Canis lupus familiaris: one gene and its partners. The protein of the gene in region 3 purifies or fractionates together with the protein of the main gene of each other region. This does not show direct contact. Links are inferred from orthologs where the notes say so. Each region holds a gene or a part of one and is shown on either strand. Other genes may lie near its edges. The genes, in order: cytochrome b5, VDAC1 and BCAP31.

The links.
Region 1: the proteins of BCAP31 (region 3) and cytochrome b5 purify together in Homo sapiens (co-immunoprecipitation; 4 studies listed by BioGRID and IntAct, with this or other methods). This does not show direct contact. The link is inferred for Canis lupus familiaris from reciprocal best matches to the Homo sapiens genes BCAP31 and CYB5A.
Region 2: the proteins of BCAP31 (region 3) and VDAC1 purify together in Homo sapiens (affinity purification with western blotting; 3 studies listed by BioGRID, with this or other methods). This does not show direct contact. The link is inferred for Canis lupus familiaris from reciprocal best matches to the Homo sapiens genes BCAP31 and VDAC1.

What each region holds. Positions count from the first base shown.
Region 1 is NC_049222.1:5,043,395-5,047,747, reverse strand, and holds the start of cytochrome b5, read right to left. Parts: upstream 2,802-4,353; 5' UTR 2,673-2,801; coding exon 2,544-2,672; intron 1-2,543.
Region 2 is NC_049232.1:22,230,397-22,234,470, forward strand, and holds the start of VDAC1 (voltage-dependent anion-selective channel protein 1), read right to left. Parts: upstream 2,916-4,074; 5' UTR 2,895-2,915; intron 2,371-2,894; exon of another isoform or gene 2,271-2,370; intron 1-2,270. UniProt on the Homo sapiens protein: Non-selective voltage-gated ion channel that mediates the transport of anions and cations through the mitochondrion outer membrane and plasma membrane.
Region 3 is NC_049260.1:122,702,916-122,705,782, forward strand, and holds the end of BCAP31 (B-cell receptor-associated protein 31), read right to left. Parts: intron 2,145-2,867; coding exon 2,044-2,144; intron 965-2,043; coding exon 926-964; 3' UTR 574-925; downstream 1-573. UniProt on the Homo sapiens protein: Functions as a chaperone protein. Is one of the most abundant endoplasmic reticulum (ER) proteins.

The DNA of each region.
Region 1 (4,353 bases), on a different chromosome or scaffold from region 3:
AAGGTATGAGATAAACAGCATTGGCCAAACAAAGTAATGCAAATAAGAGGGATCCAGAAGAATGACACCTGGCAGAGTGTCCTACAGAAGCTGATGGGATGTGTGTTTAAGATGCAGGAAGCCATAGGCAGGGATCCTAGGAGGGGGTATCACCCTGGAAATGCCCAGCATCCTGCCAGTGGGTCCAAAAACTTCAAAATGTCAGTCACCTTGCTCTTCTACCTTAATCAAGATCCCACTCTGTGCACCTGGGTTGTCCTTTCCATCCCGCCACTGGGGACTTCAGGTGCTCTTTACAGAGCTGAGGCCTGAGGCCTCACACTGCCCTCCAGAGTCTGATCCCAACTGAGTTAGATGCAGCAGACCCAAGCACCGCACTCTCTCCTGTCCTATACCTGCTTCTTCCAATGGAAGGTTTTGGGAACAGAAATCATGTGTCTTCCTCTTGGGTTGTAGTCTACTGAGGGAGACATACCCAATGGAGTACATAAGATACGGAACTTACTGATCAAAAGAAAGGGCATGACTCCTAGAAGGCTGAATACACAGCCTTCTGTGCCCCAAACTCAAATCACAGGAGGCTACCACAGGGAGCATCTCACCAAGTACCAATTAGAAAAGGAAACAGAACTACTATAAACTTTTTACTTATTTCACTATAGTTTTAGTTATCTCACTACGTTATCAAACATTAGTGACAAACTCATTTCACCTATTATCTAACAGATTCTCCTGAAGCTACTTTCATACAGAATACTGAAAACAATACAATAAAGGAATTGGTTGTCAGCTAATTTATCCAACAGCTTGTTCACATTTCTTACAATTTTACTCACAAAAATTCTGTGCAATTCCCTCTTTCCTGCCTCATAAGAATGAAAAGTGGTTTAAAATTTAGCAATTTTCTCTTTATTATCTCCTTCTGAGAAATTTGCCCTTAAAAGTTATGCAAAATACATTTTTAGGACAGTGATTCTCTACTAGGAGTGATTTTTGGCCACTTGGCAATATCTGGAGACATTCTGGCTGTCACAATTGGGAAGTGAGTGGTGACATCTGGTGGGGAAAAGGCCAGGCAAGCTGCCTGTACAACACAATGTACAAAACAAAACCCACAAAGAAAGGAAAAAGAAAAAATAGTTCACAAAAATATCCTTTTATTTTTTTCATAAATGCTGTTCTTTTTTACAGATAGAAACAAAGAAAGCACACGCTGAGTCTTAAAGTTCTAGAATTACACATACGGAGAGAGAGGGAGAAGGAACTGGTTGAACGTAGACCTTTGGCATCAACTAGCCCTGATATTACCAGGCAGGGTTGCTAACTCCACCCTCTCTAATGCCGGTGGCTCAGAAGGGACAGATCAGGTGTGCCTCCTTACTATAAACCATTCCTAAATCAGAACACTATTTTATCTTCTGGCACACCACCAAATGACAACTTAGGAGTAAAATATCTCATTTAACATCAGCTTCAACTTTTAAAAAAAGAGTTAAAAAAATCAATCAATAAATTCTCTACAAAAGTCCTTGATGTACATTTTTATTCAGCTAAGACAGGCCTCTATTTTCATTTCTCCTTCAACTATGTAAAAAAAATTCCCATCACTAAACATTCTTATTTGTCTGGGAGGTGGGTAAGTGCTACATTCAGATTTCTCATTCACACTCAGTGATAAAACAAATCCAGAGGTAGCGAAGAAAAGCCCCTTAGGATGTGCTGCAAAAATTATATCCTAATGCAAAGAATCTTATCAAGGAATGTGTTCCTTTAAGTGAAGCAAAGTGGTTTTACAACTCCCAAAGGTAGGGTCCAGCGCCGCCCGGCAGCCTCAGGACCTATATTCCGCCTTCCTCGGAGCTTCACACCCGCGGCGGCGCTGATTTCCCGGCCTCCTGAGTCCGCGCTGTAAAGTCCTCACTGGATGCTGTTAACAATCACGGCGCTGCCTTCCAGACAGGGCGCGCGTCGAAGTTGGGGTGGGCCTGTGGACCACACCCCGACCTCTGAATTCAGGGTTTTCTCAGGTAGGATCCCCCCCATTCAGAGGGTGGTCTCCCCCGCAGTAACGGAAGTGGGCCTATCCCCGGCTTCCAGGGAGCCCCCTTATGCAAATTCCGAAAGGGATCTTTCAAAATCCTTCCGCAGCTCGGGACGCGGCTGTGCTTCCCACCAACCCCCGGTGCCGCCGTCCTGCACGCCCGGAGGTGCGGGCCCGTCGCGGGCGGCTACCAGGCTCGCCCAGTCGCCCCCGCTCCCGAGCGTGCAGCACAGCGCGCAAAGCTGGGTGCGTGCACCGGCCGGTGTGCGTGCAGGGGCGCCCCGGGGCCGGAGGCGCACGTACACACACGCCCAGGAACGCTCTCGGGCACAGAGCTGGGTGCAGGGGCGCTCCTAGGACTGGAGGCGCACCTACGCACACACCAGGAAGGCTCTCGGGGGCAGAGCCGGGGGCGCACGCACCGGGAAGCACATCCCACCCTGCGCGCACGTCAGCCCCACCGCGCTGTGAACGACAGACAGCTCACGTTTCTCCAACTCACCTCCTCCAAAAACTTGGTCAAATCGTACACCTTGTGGTGCAGGATCAACCAGGTGCTCTTGCTGTGGTTGTGCTTCTGGATCTCTTCCAGGGTGTAGTACTTGACGGTCTGGTCCGACTGCTCGGCCATTTCGGAAAGCGGCGGGCCTCAGGCCGTGCAGACAGCAGCCGAGCCGGGCGGAGCTGAGCGCGTCTCAGCGAGCTCGACCCGGGACATTCCCCGCGCCCCAGCCCCGAGCGGACAGCAGGGCGGCCCGCGCCACGGAGGGGGCGGTGGCTCACGGCCCCCGGTGACTGGACAGAACCCGTGTCAGTCAGGGGGCCCGCCCTCGGCCGACAGCCTCCGCCAATCTCGGCGCGCCCCCGCCCGGCGCGCGGGTGCCGACTGGCTGCAAGAAGTGCCCTTCAGGGGCGGGGCGGGAGCGCGGAGGGCGAGGCGAGCCGGGGGAGGGGGCGGGGGCGGGGCTTCCCCCGCGTCTGCGCAGAAGGCTGGGGCGGCGGAGTGGCCGGCCGAGGAGGCTACTTCGCGGTGATTTGGCAGTCAGGTCAGACTCGCCAGCCCGGAATGTCACTGCGTAAGTTACTGTGCCACGAGTCTGTTAATATCAAACTGTTAACGTGACGGGACAGCCCTGCTTCAGAGAAACAGTGTGCCTTCAGGGAAAAGGCCCAGGGAAGGTACTGGTTCTGTACAAAGCAGAAGCCTAAGGACTCCTAACGCTCTGCGGACACTGCCCGGCGAATACTGTCTCGTCTCCGCAGTGTGATGTTGACATAAATCCTAAAGACCAACAGCACTTGGGCTCCGAACAGCAACTGCTCAGCGAGCACTCAGGAAGACTTGCAAATGTTTGAGGAAAAAAGAGGGAAATCCCAGCACATTATCCAGTCACCTGTTAAGGCCCTTTTCAGCAATGGTAGTGAATGCCAGAAGGACCTACACAACAGGGTACAGGGAAGGCCATCCTAGAGACTCCACACAGCTCCCCCACATCAGGAGCCTCCGTAAAGGTTCGTTCCCCCCACCTGACCTCCTCCATAGGAATGCATGCCCATGGGGAGGAAAGATTTTCCCAAGCATTCCAACAGCCCTTACATATGATTGGATACACTGCTTTTCAAATACCGAAACAAACAAACAAAAAAAAACAAAAACAAAACAAAACAAAAGAACAAATACGGAAACAGCCTTGCATCTCTAAGTACAGCCCACCTGTTTATTGCTAAATTATATTTTGTTAGACTTTTATGGGGAATACTTGTGTGCAGTTTTCTTTCATGCATGGTATTTGCTGGCTTCATAGAATGAGTTGGAAAGTATTCCCTTTTTTCTATTTTTCTGGAAGAGATTGTATAGAATTGGTTTTATTCTCTAGAAGTAGAACTGGTAGACTTCTCCAGTGAAACCATATGGGCTTGCACATTTCTTTTTCAGGTTTTAAACCGTGAAATTTAATTTCCATGACACTATCAAATTACTGGTTTCACATCGGCTGAGTCGCGGTGCTATATACTTTTGGAGGAATTTATCCATTTCATCTAAATTGTCAAATCTATGTGTGATGTCATTCATATTACTCCTTTATTATCCTTTTGATGTTTGCAGGGTTTATAATGATATCCTCAGTTTAATTCCTGATACTAATAATTTGTGACTTCTCTCATTTTTTTGTTGTCAGCCTTGCTGGAGGTTTCTCAGTTTTACTGATCTTTTCAAAAAGCCAACTTTCCAACTCTTTGATTTTCTCTTTTTTTTTTTTTCAATTTCATTAATTTCTGTGTAATTTTTGTATAAGTTCCTTCTGTGTGCT
Region 2 (4,074 bases), on a different chromosome or scaffold from region 3:
AGATAGCCCTTGCCTATTGCATACAGAATAGAATACAGAAATAAAACTAAGTAATCAAGTAAGAGCAGTACTACCCCCTCCCCACGGTCAAGAATTTTACTCTGGACAATCTCCAGGGTCAAGCATTTTACCAATCCACTCATCAGAAAGAGGAAAAGCACCAGGCCCAAAACCTTAGGAGAATCCCGACTCACTGGGGTCACCCCACCACCACCACCCTGCAGGCCCAGAAACACCAGTTCTACAAGTTTCCCACAGGATGTGAAAAAGTCACATAACGAAGGTAATAGGTTTAAAGCAGATTTCAAATTAGGAAACAGATCTGCGGGCAGCCCCGGTGGCGCAGTGGTTTAGCACCGCCTACAGCCTGGGTCGTGATCCTGGAGACCCAGGATCGAATCCCACATCGGGCTCCCTGCAGGGAGCCCGCTTCTCCCTCTGCCTGTGTCTCTGCCTCTCTCTCTGTCTCTATGAATAAATAAAATTTAAAAATCTTAAAAAAAAAAAAAAAAAAGGAAACAGATCTGCATCTCAGTGCTCCAGGGCTGTACATTCAACTGCGAGTCTTTAAATATCTGTGACTCTCTCCTAAGCAAGGGTATTTGCTGGAAGTGAATGAGTGTGTGTCCCTTAGGATGTCCAAGATCAAGAAACTCTGGTCTGGGCCTGCATCCACTACATATGCCCATTCAATAATTTCACAAATACTTAATGAGCACCTACTCTAAGCCACATGCTGCCATCGTAAAAACTATCCTTCTCTCAGTAAGGGTGAGTTGCTTCTTGGATAAAAAGCAAGATTGCATTTGCCCCCACAGACCCTTCTCAAGTACCTAATGTGGGTCAAGTGGCACCACCCCAGGCGCTGAAAACAAAGCTGCATAAGGCTTAAGCCTAACCCTGTAGAACTCAGTCCAGAGCTGGGCTGGAGAAACAAGGCAAGCCCTGGGCAGTCTGCCCTGGCCTTGCCAACAGTGAATGCAGAAAAGGAGGGATCCATTCTCTATCTCCTCCAGAGAGGTGAGGCTGGTCAAGGGAATGGGTCAAACAAGGCTAGGCTTCCCTCAGCTCTGCACCCAAAGGCAACTTCCTGCTTCAGCCTGACCTTGTCTGTCTATAAACTTCTATAAGGATTTTTCATGAATTATCCTGAAAATTACTCAGTGCCCAGTATACAAGTGCTTAGTAATAATGTTTAAAATAACAGCAGCTGGCTGTTTATTGAACCCTTTCCAGAACACCACGTGGAGTAAAATGGTCTGCAGAGGATGGGCTAAATCCTCCCAAAAAGCCTCAAGGCTGTCCAGCTTTCCCCTGAAGGCTTCGTGTTGACCAACTCATTTTATTCTTCCCAAAAACCCAACGAGGGAGAGCTGTAACTGCTCCTATTCTACAGATGAGAGCACTCAGGCCTGCTGAGTGTGACCTTGGACAAGTCACTGGGATTGCAAGTCCGGAAATCCAAGGGCTCCGAGCCAGTTTCGTGAAGGCGCCGCCGCGCTCCGTGAATGAACGAGCAAACAAACCGGGAGGCGCTCCAGAGGCCAAGGAGGCCACATCCCGCTCCCGCCGGGCCTCCCTTCCCAAGGCCTAGCCCCCCGCCCGGGCCCTAGAGGCCTAGGACCCGCGGACAAGGCCGGGCGCCAGCGTCCCTGGGCGTGCACCCACGGGCCGGGCAGGGCGTGCGGGGCCGGGGGCCGGGGGCCGGTGCGGGGGCCGGGGCCGGGGCCGGGGCCGGGCTGGGCCTCGGTCATCACAGCGGCTCATCCCCGCGGCCACCGCATGGCCCGCGCCGGTCCGTGGGCCGAGCCCGGCGAGCGTGGGTGGCGGGCGGTCCCCCGCCGGGCCGCGAGGGCGGGACCCAGGTCCAGAGGGCGCCGCCGGCAAAGGTCACCGAGACCTGCAGCCGGCCGGGCCCTCACGCGCGGCCCGTGCCCTTCCGCCCGCGGTCCCCGCGGTCCCCGCAGGCTCGAGCCCCAGCCGCAGGCGCCCCGGGGCGTCCGGCCGCCCGCTCCCCGCCCGGGCCGCCCGCCGAGGCCTGCTGCGCCCGCCGCTGCCCGCCCAGGCCCTCGCGGGGCGCCCCGCTCCCGCCCCGCTCCCGCCCCGCTCCCGCCCCGCTCCGCTCCCCCGCGCCGCCCGGCCCGGCCCGGCCCGGCCCTCGGCCCCCCGTCCGCGCGGCTCCTCCCTCCACCGCCTCCCGCTCAGCTCCCGCGGCCCGGCCCGCCCCCCCGGGCGCCTGCGGGGCGCGGGTCCCCGGCCGAGGTGCCTACCTCGCGGGCGGCGGCGGGCTCGGCGGCGGGCTCGGCGGCACCTACCGCGGAGGCTGCTGCGCGAGGAACCGAGCGCACGGCCGGGCCGAGGGCGGGGCGGGGCGGCGCGGACGGCGGCGGCGCGGACCCGCCCCGACCCTGCGCACCCGGGCACGCGAGCCCCGCCCCTGGGCCCGCCCCGGACACCGCCCAGGCCGGGGCCCGGTCCCCGCGCCCGCGCCCGCGCCCGCGCCCGCCGCCCCCTCCGCGCGCCCTCGGCGCCTGCCCCGACGCGGTGCCCCGGGCGAGTGCGGGCGCGCGGAGGGGGGCGGCGAGGGCCCCGGCGCGGGACGAGGCGGCGCGCGAGGGGTGCGTGCGCGGGGACACGCGTGCCGGCCGCGGCGGCCGAGGGCCAAGCGCCGAGCAACCCGGGTGCGCCGAGCTTTTGCGCTCCAGAGTAGCAGGCACTTTCCCCGGGAGCGAGACTGCCAGTGGCCATTTTCGGAGCTTTTGCGAAGTGAAAACAGCAAACCGCGCTTCGGCAGAACGTCCCCCGCTGGGAGCCCGAGAGCGCAGACGGGAGGCGGGAGCCAGCCCGGGCCCCCGGGGAGCCCCCGCCCCGCCCGAGCCGGCGGCCTCCGTCACCCAGAATTGCGCAGAGCCTCGTGGCCGGTCGGAGGGGCTGCGCGGCTTTGGCCTCCGCCAACAAACGTTCGTTCTCCGCGCCTCGGGGCCCGTGGAGGAGGCAGGGGCTCCGGGACCCCGACGCTCGCTCACCACCAGCTGTGGCGCCGATTAAAGGAGCAGGCGGCTGGGGCGGCGGCAGAGGCCAGAGGACAGGCTGCTGGGCCGAGGGCAGCGGGAGGAGGAAAAGGCAACTGACTGGTGTTCCGATGGGGCCCGGATGCCGAGAAGAAGGGCACCAGCTTATGGGGTTGGGAAGGGGGGGGCGGGGGCGGTGCAAAGTGCACCGGGCTCTGTAGGGGTCTCTGGTCTAAGCACGCTAAACCCCCTGAGGTCCTGGAGCGTGGAGCGCTCATGCTGGAACTCTCCCCAGGCCCACGAGCTGCTCCATGGCTAACTGGAGGGCTCAGAGCTTCCCAGCCTGGTCATTCCCGCTCCACACACAAAGGCCCCGGCACACTCCTGGAGAGGGTGAGGCAAGGAAAGCCACTGAGTCACCCATGAGCGCAGGAAAGCCGCCTTTGGGAGGACAGGACCTCAAGGAGGCAGGGCAGAGCCAGATAGCTCTAGGGGAAGATGGGGCTCCAGAAATGTCACAGGAGCTAGGAGCAGATATCTCACCCTGGGTCAGTAAAGCCCAGGTGTGATGCTTGGACCAAAGGTCCTAAGTGTTCCCCTCCTCTCCAGCACCTCCTTGCCAAACCACCTTTCAGGACCCTGATTGTGGGAAGAGTTCCCCATACCCCACCTGCTCTGGGTCCCTTCTGGGGCTCCCCCAGGTGTCACTTTCAGATGAATCACACGAGTGTTCTTTGACTCACTGGCTGTGTGACTCTGGGCAACTGGGCTAACTGCTCAGCTGCAATTTCAGAGGGTTGGGGCAAGTTTAAAATGGGAAGCAAGCACTCCAAAAACACTGAAGAAATCTGGTGCAACATGGCATCCTCAGACCCTAGTGTTGACTGCTCCCCACCACAGCCCCAAAGGAAGAGCTGAACCAGGCAGCAGGTTATGCCAGGCTTGGCTCTGCCACCTCCAGCCCCACCTTCCTTCTTTCTTGCCAGGTTCGGACTGGAGGGGGGGCACCTGACCCAAGAGCAGCCAATCAGGTCCTCCCTTGCAATTATGAGCTAATAAACCC
Region 3 (2,867 bases):
CACGTCCAACATGTTCCCAAGGTTGCAGGTAGCAGAGGGGGCACCCTCCCCACCACCTAGCTCTATCCTGGGCCAGTCATAGGTCACTGTCAAGGGCAAGTCTCCTGTCTTAGTAGGCGTGAGTCAGAGGTCATCCTGCAAACCTTCAGGAGGAAGTGGGGCAGGGAGTGACTGGTGGCACTCTGCCATGTTCTATCTGTCCTAAAATGTGATGAACAGGACTCAGAGGAGGCAGGCAAATCTGCCACCCGGAAGCCCCAGCAGTTTACTGAGTCTCCCAAGATTCCGTGGACCCAGTGGCCAACCCAACAGGTCAGACACACCCCAAGTGGTCATAAAATAGGGCCTGCCTGGGGAGCAGAAGGCAAAGGGACAGGGAGAGCAAGTATGAGCCTGGGCCCAACCTAGGATGAGGGGGTCTTTAGAGATTAGTAAATTGAAAGAAAATAACCTGAAGGCCTCCAGGACCCAACATTGGGGGTCTCTATCAGAACTCCCCGCCACTCCCTTCCTGGTCCCTCCAGTGATGGGAGAAAGACGCGGCTTCCTGGTGGCCTCAGTTACACGCACGAATCATAGTCACATAACAACGAACTTTATTGCCCCAGGAAAACTCTACTCTGCCTGCACCGTCTACCCTCCTGCAGGACCAGAGACAAGGGGCCCTGGAACCCCAAACAACACGCAACACAAAAGAGGCACAACCCAGTGGGAAGCAATGCCTGCCTCATGCCTGGCCGGCTGGGATGGCAGCAAATTCATCCTGCGCAGGCAGAAACTGGGTCCCCTGGGGTATGCCGGGAGAGCGTGGAACTGCAAGCTGTGCAAGGGGACAGGAAGCAGAGGGGGCGAACTGAGGTACCGGGGAGGCCGGGCTGCAGGCAGCAGCGGGCACAGCCCAGGTGGCAGGTGGGGAGGAGCAGCCTCACTCCTCCTTCTTGTCCGTGGGGCCATCCACCGCTGCCTGGAAGGGACAGAAACCACAAGGCAACGGGTCGACAGGGTGCACCCCTCCCCTTCACCCCCTAGCCCCTTCACCCCAAAGGCCCAGCTTGCTGGCTTCTCCCCAGGTAACAGGTACCAGGTGAGCAAGGGACCCCACCTGCAGCAACGCCTAAAGGCCTGCCCAGGTGATTGTGGACCCTCTCTAGCAAAGGCTGTGACCCTAATGCCAACCAGAGGGGTGTAGCTGGGCGCCTCTGCTGTCATGCTTCTCTTTAAGCCACAGGACCCCACACCAACCGCCGTCTTGGGCCCGTGGCAGACCCGGCATTCAAGTCCCTCCCAAGTCCCAGCTCAGGCCCTGCACAATTCTGCACATCTTTTATGGGTCCTGCTGGTGATCCCACCCTACATTGAGGCCAAGCAGTCCTCCTCTGGGGCCTGGGCCCTATCTCTTCAGCCACTGTGGTGGCCAAATTTAGGCCAAGTGACAAGGCAAATTGTTAGAACTTAGGGGCATTTACATGGCCCTCAGGCCCAATTCTCAGGCCACCTGAGCTTCCAGATTCAGCCAATCTGAGGACTCTTGACAGGTCCTAGGAGGGGGGTGGGGCAGGTAGGCCGCCCCAGCCCTGCATCACCCCCACAGCCCACATGCAGAAGAGGCAAGCTGCCAGTCGCAGAGTGTCCCTGCAATGGACCTGGACCAGTCAGGAGCGCCACACCACAGACCAGGTACACGTGTGAGGGAAGGTGCTCTTCTCAGAAACACTGATGCCAGGCATGAGGGCCCACCGCACTACCAAGGCCACTTTAGCAAGTGGCTGCCATCTGCCAAGCCACACCCCTCCTGCTAGAGAAAGAGTTCCAGCTGCTGAGCCCAAACTGGCACTGCTTGGCAGGCTCTTCTCTAGACCCAGAGTCAGCAGCAATGGAGGAAGAAAGGGGGAACGGGGGAAAGAAAAAAGCAGCCAGCCCCACCACCAGGGCCTCTTGAAGGCTCTGTCGAGGGAGGCCAGGCTGGGGATGAGCCCGCTCAGTGCTGCTCAGGGTGCGGGGGGCAGATCCGACCCGGCAGAGCAGAGCACACATGCCACTGACCTGTAACTTTGCGTGCTCCTCCAACAGACGGTCATACTCCTTGGTAAGGCCCTCAGACTGCTTCCGCATGGCCACGGCCTCGCGTTCAGCTTTCTCTAGTTCTGGAGATGATGCAGATAAGGAGAAAAAGAAAACACAAAGATAGGGATTAGTTAGGAAGAAAAAATCCAGCTGCTGGAGACACCAGAGACAGGTCTGAATGTGTCCCCACTGAGGCTGTCTAGGAGGGTGCTCCTCTCCAGAAAAGTTCCCCTGCCAGCTGTAGGGCGAGCCCCTGAAGCAGGGGAGGGCTGGCCAGCACAGATGGGGGAAGCGGGAAAACACCAAGGACCCCCTGGCCCATTTGATGGAGGGACTCCAAGTGGCCCTAGGCATGGGTGACTTCGGGGAGGCTGTGGGCCTGGAACCAACAGTCTGAGAACATTGAGGTGACAGCAGGAGATAGGGAGCAGAATGCTGAGAGCAAAAAGCGTGTTGGGAGGGGCTTTCAGGAAGGGAACAGATGAACTCTTCAGTAACACTGCCAGCCGTTCTGGGGTAGCTTCCCGAGTTTTCCCCGTCCCTGCCCCAAGGACACTGGTGACACTGCCACATGCGGAGAGCACTGTTCCCTGGGCCTATTGCTGGCCAACATGCTCCAGAGCTAGTCTCGGAGCCCCTGGGACACCCCGGGCCTCCAGACAGAGACTGCACCACTGAGCCCCAGCAGCTAGATAAGCAGGGGGCCATTTGTATGTTCTCACTCAGCTCCTGAGCCCGAGTGCACATCTGTTATTAATACTTTGGCACAAGAGGGGCAGCCAGCACTGGTGGAGCTTCCAGAC